2 linked regions of the Caenorhabditis elegans genome follow. The protein of the gene in region 2 interacts with the protein of the main gene of each other region in a biochemical or structural test. Each region holds a gene or a part of one and is shown on either strand. Other genes may lie near its edges.

What was found. Proteins that work in one complex are often made in the same cells at the same time.
Region 1: the proteins of gpa-14 (region 2) and dop-2 form a complex in vitro, tested with the Caenorhabditis elegans proteins (one study listed by BioGRID).

What each region holds. Positions count from the first base shown.
Region 1 is NC_003283.11:9,605,778-9,615,350, reverse strand, and holds dop-2 (Dopamine receptor 2), read right to left. Parts: upstream 6,796-9,573; 5' UTR 6,772-6,795; coding exon 6,601-6,771; intron 6,122-6,600; coding exon 5,999-6,121; intron 5,945-5,998; exon of another isoform or gene 5,736-5,944; intron 4,857-5,735; coding exon 4,744-4,856; intron 4,531-4,743; coding exon 4,409-4,530; intron 4,355-4,408; coding exon 4,247-4,354; intron 4,197-4,246; coding exon 4,100-4,196; intron 4,055-4,099; coding exon 3,987-4,054; intron 3,386-3,986; coding exon 2,954-3,385; intron 2,620-2,953; coding exon 2,505-2,619; intron 2,059-2,504; coding exon 1,870-2,058; intron 1,824-1,869; coding exon 1,555-1,823; intron 1,510-1,554; coding exon 1,252-1,509; intron 1,165-1,251; coding exon 995-1,164; intron 919-994; coding exon 775-918; intron 725-774; coding exon 554-724; 3' UTR 414-553; downstream 1-413. UniProt on the Caenorhabditis elegans protein: G-protein coupled receptor which binds to the neurotransmitter dopamine with high affinity leading to the activation of an associated G-protein and downstream signaling pathways.
Region 2 is NC_003279.8:5,939,492-5,946,779, reverse strand, and holds gpa-14 (Guanine nucleotide-binding protein alpha-14 subunit), read right to left. Parts: upstream 4,391-7,288; 5' UTR 4,362-4,390; coding exon 4,294-4,361; intron 4,208-4,293; coding exon 4,121-4,207; intron 3,954-4,120; coding exon 3,831-3,953; intron 3,072-3,830; coding exon 2,766-3,071; intron 2,718-2,765; coding exon 2,589-2,717; intron 2,432-2,588; coding exon 2,302-2,431; intron 1,900-2,301; coding exon 1,701-1,899; intron 1,475-1,700; coding exon 1,356-1,474; intron 1,309-1,355; coding exon 1,243-1,308; 3' UTR 1,129-1,242; downstream 1-1,128. Other genes in the region: B0207.7 (Protein kinase domain-containing protein), read left to right, coding at 256-423, 473-594, 649-921, 975-1,023. UniProt on the Caenorhabditis elegans protein: Guanine nucleotide-binding proteins (G proteins) are involved as modulators or transducers in various transmembrane signaling systems.

The DNA.
Region 1 (9,573 bases), on a different chromosome or scaffold from region 2:
TCTGCACATATTGACGTTGTTCTTAATAAAATCTATCGATCTTCAGCAAGGAGGTTCTCTATGAGAAATATTGTTTTCAATAGGAATAATTTGTTTTTTGAACTGTTGTTTTCCTCTAGAAATCAGGGTTCTACAATTTTGCTGTGCACTTTTGTATTGACCTCTGGAAATCGCTGCAACCTTTGGGTTTGAAATGTAGATGTCATCAACCTATCGTAGTAAACTTTCGTGACATAAAATGGCCAAAACCACTATTTTCAAAGCTGCGACGATGCTCTTTGTTACCCGTGTGTTATTGGTGTAGCCTCTAAATTATTCGGGTTTTATACTCCGACTAAACCCAAATTAATCAGGTTAACGTCTTAATTATTGTTTGATTGAAGCTCTTTAAGTGGAGGTAGATTTCAATGGGAAAAATTAAAATATTTATTTTGTACATATCAGACAAAATTCCTAACTTTTGGCACATCGTTTCAGTTTTAAATTAAGAGATCATAAACATCAGTTGACCCGAACACCCAAAAAACCCATGGAAAATTGAAAAAAAGTTATATTAGACATGCGCCTGCTTGTTACTGAAATGGTGGCGTGTTGAATTTCGGCCGAATATAATTGATTTGAAAGCACGACGGAATTCCGTGTTGAAGATTGTATAGATAATGGGATTCATGAATGAATTCATGTAACCAATCCACGTACAATAGAAGAAGAGATCATAGCCAACCTGAGAAATTCAGAAATATGAATTAAGAATCAAGAGAAAAGCTCATTTACCTGACACGAATCTTTATTGAGCAAAATGCAAACTGCATTCAAAATATTAATAACAAAGAATGGAACCCAGCACACAAGAAATACTCCAACAACAACACCCAATGTCTTTGTGGCTCGTTTCTCTTTACGTTGTGCTTTTGAGACCTGGAAATTGTGTGTTTAAACCCCTTTTTCACTAAAAAGTTGGAATGTCTTTCTGAATAAAGTGAAATCCGCCTACCTTCCTCTTCAAACTATGCTCATGCTTGATAGCCCTCTTGACCAACTTGACAGCAATCCCATTTCGATTGCTTTTCTTTGAGCCTTTCGAGTCGACGGACCTTAAGCTATCGGCACGTGTTTTTGATGAGCATGTAGTGCCAATTGAATCCATTCGTTGGAGGTCAAGATCTGCAAAGTACGGAAGTGTTTCAAAAAACATTTTTTGATGTAATAAAAAAACATATTTTGATGTAAAAAAGAATTTCAAAAACTTACGTGGTAAACTGGGTCTTGTTAATATTTGAATGGCCAAGGGAGGATCAACTTGCGAAACACGTCGACTCGATTCAACACTGCATCCTTTTAAATTATTCAAAGCATTTCCTTCCATTTCTCTAACTGTTAATGCAAAACTAACAGTCGGTTGCATAAAACATCCTTCTCTTGTTTCAGCTAATACATCTTCTAAAACTGTTTCAGTAATCAACGCTGGAAACTTTTCAAAATCATCTGGTGATCCAAGTAGTTCTGCGCCTGAAAAACAAATAAATTTTCTTCAAAATTCTTTATAATTCTCACTATTTGCCGTCGTACTTCTGCTAATTGTCGTAGTGGGAAGATTTTCAATATCTCGTGATGCAGAAATAGTTTCAGTTTCAGTTTGTGAATTTGTTGGATGAATTGGCATTGATACTCGTCGGTATTCCTTTGGAGGTTCAGTTATTGGATTGGCTAATATCATCGAATGTTTTTTAATATCAGTCTTATCTCTTCGGAATAAACGGGGACTTTTTCTAGAGATTGTTCGAATAATTGCAGGAATCAATGCATCATCTGATTGATTTGTTCTGCAAACAGAATTTCATTAAATTTTCAAACAAACTCTATACTTACATTGATGCTGTTCTTGAATTATTTCTAGAATTGCCTCTATTCACTTTCACTACTTTTCTATGATGTTTTGTTGAATAGTTTCTTGACAAATTTCTAAATCTTTTTTGTCCTTTGATACTGTAACTTCGACCATCTCCGGATGAAGTTTGAGACGATGTTGGTTGGGAGTCGTCAGCATATGACGATCTTCTGAAAAAATTAATCAGTAAATATGGGAAGAAACATATGTTATACTTCAGTCAAAAATAATACATTTTCAGACAACAAAAGTTCAACAGCTATTGTGAAAAATAGGTTTAAAAGTTGAAAAACTAAACCACTTTCACTTCTCGTGTAATTATTCTCATGTATTTATTGCAAATTCGCTACTACGTAGTTTTTACCGTAATTTTGCAGTATTTTATGGTGTTTCCAAAAGCGCGTGGTTTTTTAGGGGTCGCCACAAGAAAGTTAGTTATTAAAAGTACTAATAACCCTGAAAAAAATTCGAAAAAAGATATTCTGGAATAAATTGCATTCTAGTGGCATATTTTCACATTTTTACAAAATTTTTACGAAAATAGTAGCAATCGATGCGCAATTTAGTGTCCATTTGAGACGAAATTTAAAATATTCGTAAAATTTTCAATGCATACCTTGAAAATGTGGTGCAATTCTCCGACACAAAATCATTTGTAATCACGTTGACATTTTCCGAAAGTGATTCAAGACTTGATCGTGGTGTCGAACTATTTCCAAATTCTCTTTCATCTGAAACCAAACTGTGTTGAATATTTTCAAGGAATACAATATATAAATCATGCTCAACGCAATTCCCAAATGCTCAAGCTGAGTTAACTTTCGTGCTAGTTTTCACTGCAAACATTTTTATTTTCCAAATAAATATCCATATTTCATTTTTTATCTATAATGAATCATGCAACTAACGTTCTGCAAGCTTGAGGTGATAGTGAGTGAGAAGCTGGAAAATGAAAGAACATAAGAAATCAGTGAAAGTGGTAGAAGCGTGTTGTGCAATAGTCTGTGCAGAAATGAGGAAACGGTGCTGTTGATAGTACATGTGAATATATGAATTCCGACATACTCAGGAGCATAGGAAGTGGTAGATCACCGGATGCCTTCGGTATTGCAGAAGTAGTAGTAGTTGTACGAGCACACGAAGAAGAAGACGGAGAGGTGGTGGAAATATTTTGGGCGAAGAAGGCAGGCATGCCGGACGCTGAAGCAACACTCTGCGCAGTCGAGTTTGCTGTTCCGACAGACGCTGCGTTTATGATCCTTCGGAGCATGGAAGTGGTACGAGGTGCCGATGCCTCAACGACGCCCTGTCCATTATCAGCATGATAATCATCATCATCGTCACCGGCATCGTCACCCCCACAACACTCATCCATAACGTCCAGCTCATCTTCCTCCCATTCTTCATCACCTGCGAGTTCAATTGCGCGACGATGTCGTTCGAATTGTCTCATCCGACGAGTCATTGATGGTAGAGCAGCCATCATGACATTCACCACTGGAAACGACGAAACACGTGTAGGGAAAGTATAATTTTAGAGGAAAGACTAGAACTTAAATTAGCTCGAGCTGATGTAGGATTGAAAAATGAACGACTTTCAACGGAAATTAAAAAATGTCTAGGGAATTTGGGAAAATCGTATCAAAACTGAGCTATATTAGGGGAAGGTATAAGTTTCCAAGTTGTGTGTCTCAAAACTTTTCAATTCGTCTTGTAGTTAATGTTGGAAATTGTGCATATGTGTTAAAGTTTTCATTCTAAACTGCTAAAATTTAAAAAATAGGTGGAAGGAGAGAAGTAAAATTGAAAAAAAAAGAACGTGAGAAAGACATTGAAATATAATATTTAAAGCTTTAATCTGAAACTAATAGAAAAGAAGAAAAATCACAGAAACTGTTTTCGCTGCTGCACAAAAAGCTACGATAAGATTACTGTAAGCAAAAAGGTTAAATCAGTAAATAAATTATGTTATACGACTCAAGAGAAAAATTCACTTCACTTCTCTATGAAATTTCTATGAATCTTAAAAAAGTATCAAAGCCTAGTCAATTTTTGTGCGCTCATCTGAATGCAATCTTACAAAAACTTGAAAACTAACCTGGTCCAGCAACAATACGCCCTGCAGCTTCTTCGTCAACTTGCTCTTCGCCTGTATCAGGCCTCATTCTGTAATTTCAATATTTTCAAATATTGTAAACAAATAAATCTTACGTTAAACCGTGCGCAATTGTGTTCTTCTCTCTCCTCATTTTAGCTGCCTTTTCTCGTTTTTTTAGAGCAATTATAATTCGAATATAGACGAAAAGTACTGAAACGGGGAAGCTATTTTAATAAACCATTTTTGGCTTTTCAATTTACCTAGAAAACAAGGAATAACAAACGAGATCATAGAACTGAGGATCGAAAACTCAGCATTGTAGAATCGACACTCGTATGGGTTAGCATCTGGTGGACGAACGTTTACTCCTTCAATTCAGAAGAGTTTGATTTTTTTTAAAAGGATATATGTATGAAACTAACCAAAAACCATTGGACTGGCTAATGTTAGGCTGACCAACCATATAACAGCTATCAATGTCCATACCCGTTTCACATTTTGTGACTGTCTTGAATACTGAATTGGTAAAGAGACTGCACGGTATCTGAAATAATTGAACAGTTCAGTTTTTTGTAGAAAACTGTGCATTTTTATTTTAGCAAAATACTTAGATTTATGCTCTTAACATTTTTCCCACGATCTTTGCTGTTCCCCGTCATATTCTGAATGCAAAAAATGAGTACAAAGAAAAAATGGTTGGTTGAATAACAGCCACACGTTCATTTTCTATTCAGATGACTCGAAACTCCCGACTCACCGATCGAATGAAATTACGGCAAGAAGAAGAATAGAAGCTGTGCTACAGCACACATCAGATGCCATGTAAATGTCACACATTAGATTTCCTAGATACCAGTCGCCGTTGGTGACCTGCAAATTAGGGAAAATTAATGGACAGTTGAAAAAACGAATAACGTATATTCTTTACTTCTGTACACCATTGCTTTGACTACTTTCGGTTATCTTTTCTTTTATTAAAAATTGTCAAATGAATAAATCATTTTGAATTCTTTTTCTATAGTTTTGTAGAACAGTAATTTTTGATATCTTCAAAATAAACCGAGATATACCTTTCCAAAATGGAATAGTGCGATGCAGCACTAAAATAGAATATATGGTATTTTTAGTTTTTGTACTACAATAGTAATTATGGTGTTCATTTATACTGTCGATGGAAATTTCCCAACTGAAACACAATTTCAAAGTCTATTATTCAATTGCTTTTTTCTGCAGAATCTGATACGCATTACCCTAATTCTCCATTATTCTTCACTCCTGACGCTTTCTCTAATCTACCGGAAAAAAAGGAAAAGCCTTCGTGGTTGGAAGGATCTAGGAAGCAATAAATACGGCTTTCCGTGCATCTAATTTGACACTTTTCACACCACGTTCTTTCCCCTTTTCCACCCCACTGGGCTTCATTTCCACGTCACACACACACACGCACACGCTCCTTGTACCATCCATCATCATGCCCCTTTTTCTATTCTTTTTAAGTCAAGTCAGTTTGCAGAGTTCTGTTTCAACGGGAAAACCTACGGAACTTAACAAAGAAGTATCGTTTGGCACTCTGTCCATCAATAGAGTTATGTGATAGCTGTCAGGGGATTACATCAACCAGCTTCATGTCTTGTCTCTTCTCTTTGATGTTCTTTTCTTTTTCATTTTCAACGTGTTCTAGTACTATTTATAAATGCAACGAGACTTTCAACGTTTGCAACTAGTTAGCTAGTTACCAAAACTTATGACGTGGCAACCGTCAGAAAACAACCATAAATCTGTGTGAGCAAAGCTCGGGAGCTCTTGTGAGAGACACTCAACAAATTACTGCTCTTGGTCGCTGATGTCTCTTTTCTCGTTTTTTCTCAACCTCGGTTTCCCTTGTTAGGCAAAGAGAGAGAGAGAGAGGTGGAACAGCACGTCACTTCAGGAAAACGCAGATTGGGAGCCTATGCTGCTATGGAGAGCTGTTGCTGTGGTTGCCAACAAAAGACATATAATTGATCACTTACATATACATAAACCGCGTATGGCATAACTATGATGGCCACCAAAAGATCCGCCACAGCCAGGCCTAGGATAAGGAAATTGATGGCTGATTGCAGTGCTCGGTACCGGAGTACTGATATTATTACCTGAAAAGAAAATATACTTTTTTATTATTATTTTGGAACGTGCTTTGGAGTTTGAAATTGAACCAAATGTACAATAAATGTGAGGAACTGAGTTTCACACGAACATCTATAAGACATTGCTCCAGAATCGCAAGGAATCGTTCTTTGTTCACAAATTTTGAATAATATTTTGATACCGTTTCGAAGATAATTTAAGAAGTATCTTGGCATATTGATTTTAAATGTCAGACGAACTGAGGCACAAAAGAACTCGTTGTTTGATGTTTCGATTTTTTGAAAAAAAAAAAGTTTTCTGATTTCTCCCTAATTTCTGGGTTTTGAGACAAAATTTTTTTTTCTTCTTTGATAATTTTAGACTATCAAGATACATTTCTTATTTTTCAAGATTTCATTCTTATCAAAAACATCAACAAGTAGTTTTATCTGTAACATTACACAGTTGTATATATTTTTTAACTGACAATTGAACTCTAACTAACCAGAAGGTTTCCAAGTAGCGTGATGAGTGGAATAACAATAAGAGAAAGTCCAGCGTAGTTCAAAGGAATTCCACTTCCGACTATCGTTGATGGTGTTTGTGTGATTGTTGAAAGATCAAGAGAGGGTGGAGGCCATTCAAGGGAGACATTCCATGTCTCTCCGGCCTCCATTTTTTGGAGTTGGATCACCTTAAAACAGTTTTTTATTACATTTTTTAAGCCAACAAGACGGTTTGAAGAAGGTAAAAACAAAGGTGTTCCAAGGATTAATGCTAAAATGTAAAGAACAAAAATTTTCAAGTGTTTTTTTGCTGTAAGTAGTTCTACAAATGGTCCTACTTTCTGAAACGTAATAGATTTTAGTTTCTCAGAATGTTTTAAAACTAAAAAAGGCACGGAACACTTCAAAAATGGAATTGAATTTTGAAGTTTTTTAGACTCGATAACAGAAAGAATCTGAAGAGTTAGAAAAATATAATTTGCTTGGAAAGTTCTAAGTGTTTCGCTCAAAGTTTGAAATTCTTTACCAATGCTCAGATGACTGTCAACGTAATGTATTTGATACATCAATACTAAACATTGAAAAACATCATTATTCTCTCTTAAAGTAAAATCTTTAAAAATATTTAAAATTTCTAACACAAAGCACACATTAAGCTTACTCTTAATCCTAAATCAGTGATCAACAAATAATAAAATTAAGTTGGGAAGTCACACAAAATGTGAAATTTAGCTACGAAAAAAAGTTGTCATTGTGGAAATTACAAAAGTTGTACATAGACTTTCAGCACATTAACCAACACGAACAATTGTATTTCTGTCATGAATATTTTGGAAGACCTTCAAACATTTAAAAAAAAATAGTTTTTGAGGTTATTGCAGCCCAAAAATCACCAATAAGAAAAAAAAATTAAAAGTGCAGGTCTGGCAATGATGGGGTTCATGTCTCCAAATCTATCAAGAAAGAGAAGAAATCCAGGAGGCACGTCTCTGGTAGCCCAGATGATTTCTTTCACATCAATTGAATATTCAATTTTTGAATCTCGGGGGGTAAGGGTCCAACGATGAGTTGTCTTTTGAAAATAGGCAAGGAAGTAAAGAGCAAAGTGCGAGATGTCTAATGACAAAAATAAGGAATAAAGTTAAGGTCATTGAATGTTTTTCTTCTGTCAAGACTGAACAATAGTTTATTTGTGAACTATTAAAAGTGGCCCTAGACTGAGCAGAAACCTTCAGAAGCCAGTTGAATTTTAGACGGAAGGAAAGTATGAATATCTTTTCCACATCTCTTCTTTACTAAATAAAGAAAAAACGAAGAGTAAAGGGGCGGAGAAAATGCGGTCCCCAAGACATAAACGAACTTTGAGATGGGCGGAGGACAGGCGTAGAGATGTAGAAGTAGCAGAAGAAGAAGCCTTGGGGTGGAGTTGACACAAAAAAATGCACATAAATTGCGAGCCGTTCCTCCTGTTTTGGCTATTTTTCTAAATTGGGTGTTACTTTTTCGGACCTCTAGTGTAAAAAAGCAAGATCAAATTTATATGAAAACAGAAAAAAGCCAAAGTGTAAAGGTTTTTTTTTTAATCTAGTGCACGGATCAAACAAAAATATGGGGTTTCTTGAAAGAAATGTTAGAAACATCGAAAACACTTTAAAAACTGAAATTTGTTTCATACAACCGTGAGTTAACAAGTTAATGAAACCTACGTCAATGCTTAGATAGTTCTCATAAAAATTTTGACAATTAGGCAACGAAGCTGTATAGTTGGAAGTAACTAGAGAATACTAATAGGGAGCTAAACTAATTTAACTCTAAATTAGTAACCACAAAGTTGTATCGGAGATTTTTGTCTATGGTCAGGAAGCTTATTCAATCTACGAAATTATATACAAAACTGTATGTTTCAAAATGAAATGTATTCTTTCCAGTTGACAAGTATTTTATTCTTCTAAATAAATTTCGACAACCTATAACAATTGTCATCATCATGATTATGGCAAGCATTTATAAGTTACTACCACGCAAATCTAAAGTCATACCTCAAAAGCAGCGTAATGAAATTTATATATCGGTGACTTATAAAATCACAAAAATAATTTCGCAGAATACTATTATTTGGAATAAGTTTTTAAACATATTTTACAGAATTCGTCTAACGTGCTCATTCGGTGAATACTTTAATTGAATTGTCACTGATAATTATTAATCACGAGTAAAAAAATGGCATTAACAGTTTACCACATGTGGTCTAATTGTCCCTTCTTTGTTTGATCTCCTGAAATTCTGATAAAGTTTAGTTATGGGAAAATATAACGCCACACACGTTTTAGTGTAAATAAAATAATAAATTATCACCATATAGAACAATATCAGGAGATCACAGTGTTTGAGAATACTGTGGCTACTCGTAGTTTAATTGTTTTGTTTTAAAAGATGTTTTATGATAAAAGTGTATTGGCGAGATTCTTTTTTAGTTTTTGAATAATAACATACAAATATCAATTTTGGTCAATTTTCACAACAAAAACAACGGCAAAATAAAAAAGAAAAATTTAAACAAAGTTTTTATTGAAATTAGTGAACTTACTGTCAGTACAAATATTGCAAAATTTTAACTGTTGTTAATATCAAACTTTATAGTAATTTTACGAATCCTTGAAAAAGGTTTTGATGGATGATTCAGCATTACCAAAAATACCTTCAGGAACTGATTTTTCCATCGGTCTTTTACTATTTGACTCATTATTAGCTTTAATCTCTAGTAGATAAATAATGAAAATACTGGAATATATTAAAAATTCCTAGACAAGCCCAACAATGAATTGATTTTTAGCTTAAACTTGCAAATTACGGGCACTTTGGAACCAGTGCGAAAAAAAGTTTCCCGGAAGAACATACATGTGTTGATGATAGAATGAATGGAAATAAAGAAACGGAATACACATCCACAACACAAAACAAATCTAGTCCCC
Region 2 (7,288 bases):
GTAAGGAATCAATTATTTTAAGAATTATATCTCGGTTGATTACATATTGTCTTTTTTTCATAGAACGATCTCCCTCTCTCTGAACACTAAAATGGTATCACTAGCAATCACAGATCGCGGTTTTTAGTCTGACCTTGTCTTCCGTGTATTTTGTAATATGAAAAACGGAATCACAGCGTTCTCAGACCGATCGTTTTACCGGCAGTAGAAAGTTATAATATAAGAAATACGGTATCTGAAACTGATTTTTTTCAGCTGGAACTAGACCCTTCTACTAACACAATGCGTCATCGAGCTGCTCGCAAAACACCAGGATTCATGGGCACCAGCAATTACTGTAGCACGTATGCACATGATGAATGTGATCAGGGAAGACGAGATGATTTGTGGGCGTGGCTTTACTCAACTGTTGAAATGTTCCTTGTAAGATTTTGATTGATTTTTTCTGTTTATAATCAAATAATATTTTCAGGGAAGCCTTCCATGGAATAACGAGGATAAAACAATTTTGGTTAGCAAGATGAAGAAAAAGATTGGCAAAAAATTATTTTTCAAATGTCCACGCGAGATTGCTCTTATGTATGAACATATTCGGTGAGTTATAATTTTTGGGAAACTTGATTTTCCAAATTTCGTCGGAATTTTTAGCCAACTTAAATTTGACTCAACTCCTGACTACCAAATGATGCTCAACCATTTCCAACAAATGTATGCCCGTCTTGAAATTGATGAATCTGAACCAATGGATTTTGAAGAAGGATCTGCGTTCTATGAAGAACATTTTCTAAACAATGATACGGATTCGGAAGAAGATACGGATGACACTACAACAGATTTGGATAGTTATGAAAATGAGAAATCAAATGTTGTCACAATTGGAACTGAAAGTGATGCCACTCAGGAAGATAAGAAATTGGGGAGGTACTGTTCAATTTGGTAAATGTCATTTTTAATGAGAATATTCAGTATTTCAGACTTGCCGCTGGACTCAATCGAGCATTCAGTCGTTTGATGCCATTTTAGGTTGGGAATATTTTAAATTTTACTTTTTCAGTTTTATTTTTCAGATTAATTTTACGATCGTCTTCTGTCGTCAACTTGTGTGATAAAAATCGATACTCGGGAATATTGAATTCATAGTTTTTTTACATTTTTTTTTTCATTCGAAAAACTTATTTAATGAAATGTGTAGAAATGAACAATGTCTATGATAAACAATGAAATTAATGTTTTAAAAGGAAGTTATGAAAGGCCCGTTGCTTTTGCATTTGCTTTAAATACACTTTCCATGCAGGCGCGAAATACTAACTGAAATGAGAAAAAAATTAATTTTTTTCTCAGTAATTTTCGCTTACCTTAACATTTTCCGTGTTTGTTGCTGTTGTGAAATGGGGGAATACTGATTTTTTCGAGCTAGCTGCTCGAATAAACTTTTCACAAATGTATTTACTCGTCTCTTCGTAAGTATTCTCTCCTGAAAATTGTTGTGTAAAACTAATTTTTTTTTGGAGCTTAAAAATTATTCAAGATTCGAAAAATTTAGAATTTGAGAAAAAGGCTGATACGGTTGACTTCACAATATTTACGATCACTTTCTCTATTTAGCTTGGTGACTAATAGTAAAAGAAAAATTGCAAAGTTGGTTCTTTCATTTTTATAAACAAAATTCGATGTCGTGCCCTGATTTTAATGCTTCTTACCGTCAAATTTGGAAAAGCAAGGCTGAAGATTGACCTGTGAAAGAATTTCTTTGAACAAGTCAACTTTGTTAAAAAATAATAAAAATACAGCGTTTGCCAATGCACTTGCTGCTGCAACTTCATTGAAAATCTTGAGTGCAACTTTCATATCATAGGCATTTGATCCAACGTCTCGAAAGAATTTTGGAAATCGACTTAGCTGTAAAAATATGATCAATTGGGAATTTTATGTCTAGACATTGTTTTTTTTAATTGAACTGATTGAGACTATACTCATGTTTTCCTTGAGTAATTGAAACTTTGAAAGTATAGTCTTTAGAACTGATTTAGTATTATTAGGTATTCTACCAGTCTGCTCCCAAGTCAGCAAAACGTGAATATAATTCACAAAATGCACACAAGGCTGGGCACAGGAAAAGAGAATGGAGGCAGCACAATCCACCTCGAATAGGAGGAAGAAGGTATATTTCTTATACTTTTATACACAATGAAAAACTGGCATGGGAAATTTTTACCGCCCAGAAAAACTGAATACAAATGTTACAATTCTCAATATCCAAGTTCTAGAAATTTTAAACTGAAAAGTTTCGAAGTATTTTACCTCCATTCGACTTTCTTCTGATCTTTTCGCATAACCTGTCAAATCAATCACAAAAAGTACAACCTTGGCATCATCAAACAAATGCAACCATTTCTTTCGTTCCGATCTTTGACCACCCACGTCAATCATTCTGAAATAAAAGAGGAAAAAATCTAAAATTTTCAGTTTCACTAGGATGTTGCTAAACCAGAAATTGTGTATGTTCAACAATAAAAATCGCTAAATGTATACTTCTCCACATCTCATTTAATGGTTTAAATTTATATTAAAAGCAAAAAAAGACTTACAGTAATGAGACTCCAGTGTATTCAAACACAATGCTGTTAATGCTCATCGTGGCTTTTCTTGAATGAACTATATCTTCCTGATTAGGTAAATATGTTGGGTCAGCTATTCGTGTAAGATTCTCCAAATAACTTAAATTTATATTATTACTTATCTGTAACTATACTATAATCACTCACTATTTAGTTGAATCCAATAACTCGAACTCGCATCTTCTCTTATAAATCTCCTGAATTTGTTTGGAATTCCAAAACTCTGTCAAAGGTTCCAAAAGTTCTGATATTGTCCGAACAGAAAATGCATCAGACATTGGAGCATAGATTTCATCAATTTCATATGTAATATGTTCAATTGGATCCAGAGGTATACCAACTACACGTGAACCAGCAATTAATTGTAGATATATATCCCTTATATTGTTATCAATAAGTCCTCTATATTGTATTAATTCTTGGTCGGTTTTGAACCCGTCGACGTGAATAATTCTGAGAAAAAAGATACGTTTAGATTGTGCGCATGTACATGCATCTTATTTTCAAAAGTCTTACAAAACATTTAAAATCTTTGCCAAACCCAGCCGTAACCCCAGGTTTCAAAACCCAGTCACGCATTGCAAACTTTCATTTATTTTAATGTGGTTCTGAAATTAAAAAAATGCAGCTATTGAGTACACCAGTTGATTTGAAATGTGCACAATCCTTCAGTGAGCTCAAATATGCACATCACAAAACCATCAATCGCAATGAGCACGTAACGACCGGCTGCAAGTCGTAATGTGGCCACTGTACCCGATCTCGTTGGCGTTGTGTGCACCATTAGTCCGCAATGTCAAAGCTGTGATCGAGCTCTTCCACGTGGTACTATTTACTTTACACCCGCATCTGCCATTCCCTTGCCTGACCGTCTTTAAAAAAATCATGTGAACGGCAATTTCACACAAGGCTGCAGGTGCAAGAAGGGAGAGAGTGAAGAAGCGGGTGAGATGCGACTCCAACATGCTTCGACATGGTAAAGTTCTCTATTTTTGCAGTATCAGATTTTTCATGATAACAAATTTTTTTTAACTTGAACAGCTCGTGAGTATAGTGGGAAATATTGAAAAAGTCAATAGGAATTCATTTTATTTTGCTGGTTGAATGCACATCTTCGAATATCATTACCAACTGCTAAAATCTTCCAAATTACATCTCAAACTTTTTTTTTTCATTCATGACTTTTGTTCTTTCTTACAACCTTCAACTCACTGCATTTGTTTAAAAATTGTACTCTTTCCACTTAAAGGTCCTCCAAGAATGAGTATTTTGATATGTGATCCATACGTTTTCTTTTCCAATGCTAATTCTTTTTCAATTTCCATATGCCCTCTTCTGAAACATAAAATGTACGTTAACGGCTCAAAATACAATACCAGACTGAAATATCAAAAAGTGGGATATTCACTTCTGATTTAGAAACACAAATCTTCAAGACAAATGCAAAAGCTACATGGCTTGTAAAACAAAAAAAAATTGTTTTTGAAAGTGTTCTGATTTACCTGGCAAGCTCTCTCAGTTTTGCTTCAAGCTCTTCAGAATGTGCATACAATTCGGTTCCTTCTCCATTTCGGCTGGGTACCATACACCTGAATTTTATAAGTTTCCGTACTAATAATAAAAATACAGTTGCATCTTAATCTACATTTTGGCTTATCAAAAATGTTTGACCTACCCGTCTGGTCCATGCATACATTGATAGCAATACGTGTAACTAAACTTGTCAAAACAACTAAACGCCATTAATAAATCTCAACTATAATGTCCTGAAATACGGCGAAAATGATATAAAGACCAACACAAAAATATTCACGGAAAATAGTATACGCGGAGGTGGATTGTGAAGAATGTGGGGGAAAAGTAAGAAGAAGGGCTCTTAAGTAACATGAAATTAATTAATACTCCAGAGATATAACCTACTCATATCATCCAGTTATACATATTATCAGTCATAAAACTGAAAAATAAGAGAGAACGAAAGATGGAAAATAGTAGTTGAGGATTGTGAAAAGAAGGAGGCGGAGAGCCGTGAAAAACGTTAATGAGCAGTTTCGAGCTCAACGCTCGAGAGACAAGAAATTTTGAAACGGAACTCGGGGAAATCGAGATAAATATTAAAATTTATGGTAGAAACAAAAGAATGATCATAATTTAAAATAACAACAAACAATATAAAAGATATAAATCGATATACTTTCAACAAAGTAGTATGACTGAAATTTTTACAAATTTATAGAGTGCAGGTTTTACAGTTTGTGAATTTTGAACGTTTTCCAATGCTTATGCACACCTAGCAAGTTCACCAGGTAAAACAGAGAAATGCTAATATTTGTTTCTATCAAAAACTATCATACTTCGAAATGAAAACTACAGAAATAACTTAAACTGATACATAGAGGTCTAATTGTCGATAAGTTTTGAGTTGATCAGACTTAAAAAATGAGTAGTTTGAACATCTGATTCTAAGAACTTAACGTTGAAATTTAAATTTTATCAAATAATTTTGGAAAAAAAATGGCGAGTTTCAGGCTAGTTTGCCGTAAAGTACAGCTTCGAAATACTCCCAAAAAATACTCCCAAAATCATGCAACTTTTAATGGGGAATATGCAGCAGAAATTCGAAAATTTACTTAAAAAATTTGAAGACCAGTATCATTTTTATTTTCTGAAAGTGCATAAAACACAACTCTGTTACTCTCCGTGAGTAATTCCACCTATTTTCAAGCCACCATTCTGTATCTCATTCTCGTTTTCTCTACATCCAATTGGCAATTTTCCAATTTCTTTGCGTCACTCAATTATGTTCTCGCCAAATGGAGACATAGAGGGGTGTTGTGTTTTTGGGATTGGAAACAGAAATATTCTGAAAAATGAGAGAAAGATGTGAAAGAAAAATTGGAAAGAAATTGCGAGATTTATAGAACGATCAGAAAAGTTAGTGTGAAGTGTTTAAAGAAACAAACATTGTTTATAGTATGGATAAGGCTACAAGTTAATTTATAGGAAATGTATATAATAATTGCAACTTGTATGAACCAAAAATCCAAACTCTGAGTTTTTGTGATTTGATTTTCAATTGAATTGTAATTTTTTAGAAAAAGTTTTATGAGAAAAGTGAGATATCTAAAGTGATAAATGTTTTTGATAGACCTCTACTCAAATATGGATCAGCGTAGAAATCAATTTCAAAACAAAAAATCTGCCCTACAAAAAGTATTATTGTGTTTTTCTAGAAATCATGGTCTTCAATAAATTTCGCTTTGGATTATTTCTACAGACTTTGAAATAAGCAAATATAAAAAGTAAAAAAAAACACCAAGGAAAGAAAACTCACCTTCGATTTTTTTCGCGGGCGTGTCATAAAAACTCTGTTTTGTAACCGTAATCCAATTATTATTCGGAAATAAAAAAATTCTCGGCAGTTCAGAATAGGCAAACAAAGTAAAAAATTGATTTTTTAAAAAAAAGTTTTTAATGAAAAATAACTTTTAAAAGTTTCAATTCAGCCAAAGTTGGTACATGCCTATTTGTTGAAATAATAAAAATTGAAAAAAAAATCTTATTGTTAATAGAAAAAAAAAAATATTGCACCTGTTAAATGAAAAGAAGCGGAGAAATATGAAAGCGAGATGAATGTCTTAACTAGACAAGGAAAACGACAAAATATGCTGATATGTGGTGTGAGTATTCTTTGGAGCGGAAGGAAGAAAAGAAGAAGAAGACGAAGAGAGGAATAAAAATTAAAAGTTCAAATAATCATTTACTCGAAGATAGTTATTATTTCGTACATCTTGTATAATGAGAAAAAAGAAAAGTACAAAAAAATTCAGAAAATGAAACACCAAAAAAAAAGGCAAGATATGGGAGGAGCATATTTTAAGAAAATACTTATTATCAAAATTGTTTTTCTAACAATTGTGTGATGCATGTATTAGACTCCGCCCATATCTTGGTTATGTATCGTGTTTTTGCATGTTCGTACTTGACTTCTACATAGTTCCAAATACGAATAAACGCAGAAACCAACACATAAAAAAATCATTTTTTGTTGAAAATAACCGTGACTCAAGAAGTTTCAGGTAAGAAGAGTGTTAGGAGATCGATGATTGTCGATTCGGCAGCAGCTGATTTTTCAATATCCGCATTCGAAAAAAAGTGAGACGTCACTACTTGGACTATTTTTAATTGATTATTCAGTTAGCTAAGTACGTCGAAATTTCAGGTTCATTAATTGAAAAATCATAAGGTTCACAAACATTGGAATCAGAGTGCTCCGCCAGTCATACTTTTGGCTATTTTCGTCGATTACCCTAGTTTAATAGAATTTTCGAATTTTTGGCTATTTTTGGCTATATTTTGCTATAATAAAATGAACAACAAAATTTCACGAAAAAATGATTGAAAACGAGTGAAATCAACGAAACTGAATGAAAATTTTGGAAAAATAATACATTTACGTATTTTCCGCAAATACCTAACGAGACCCAAATTATCGGGGCGGAGTCTTTCTATTTGGCGTTGGAGCGCGATTGCATTCTGATTTCAAAAGATGCGTTATTCACAAGTGAAAAATGAAACTTTAATTTTCTTAATCAGACAAAAAATGTGAGATTTTTGAAGAAATCGGAGAAAACGGTTCAGCAATTAGCATGAGTTCTCAAATAAAAATG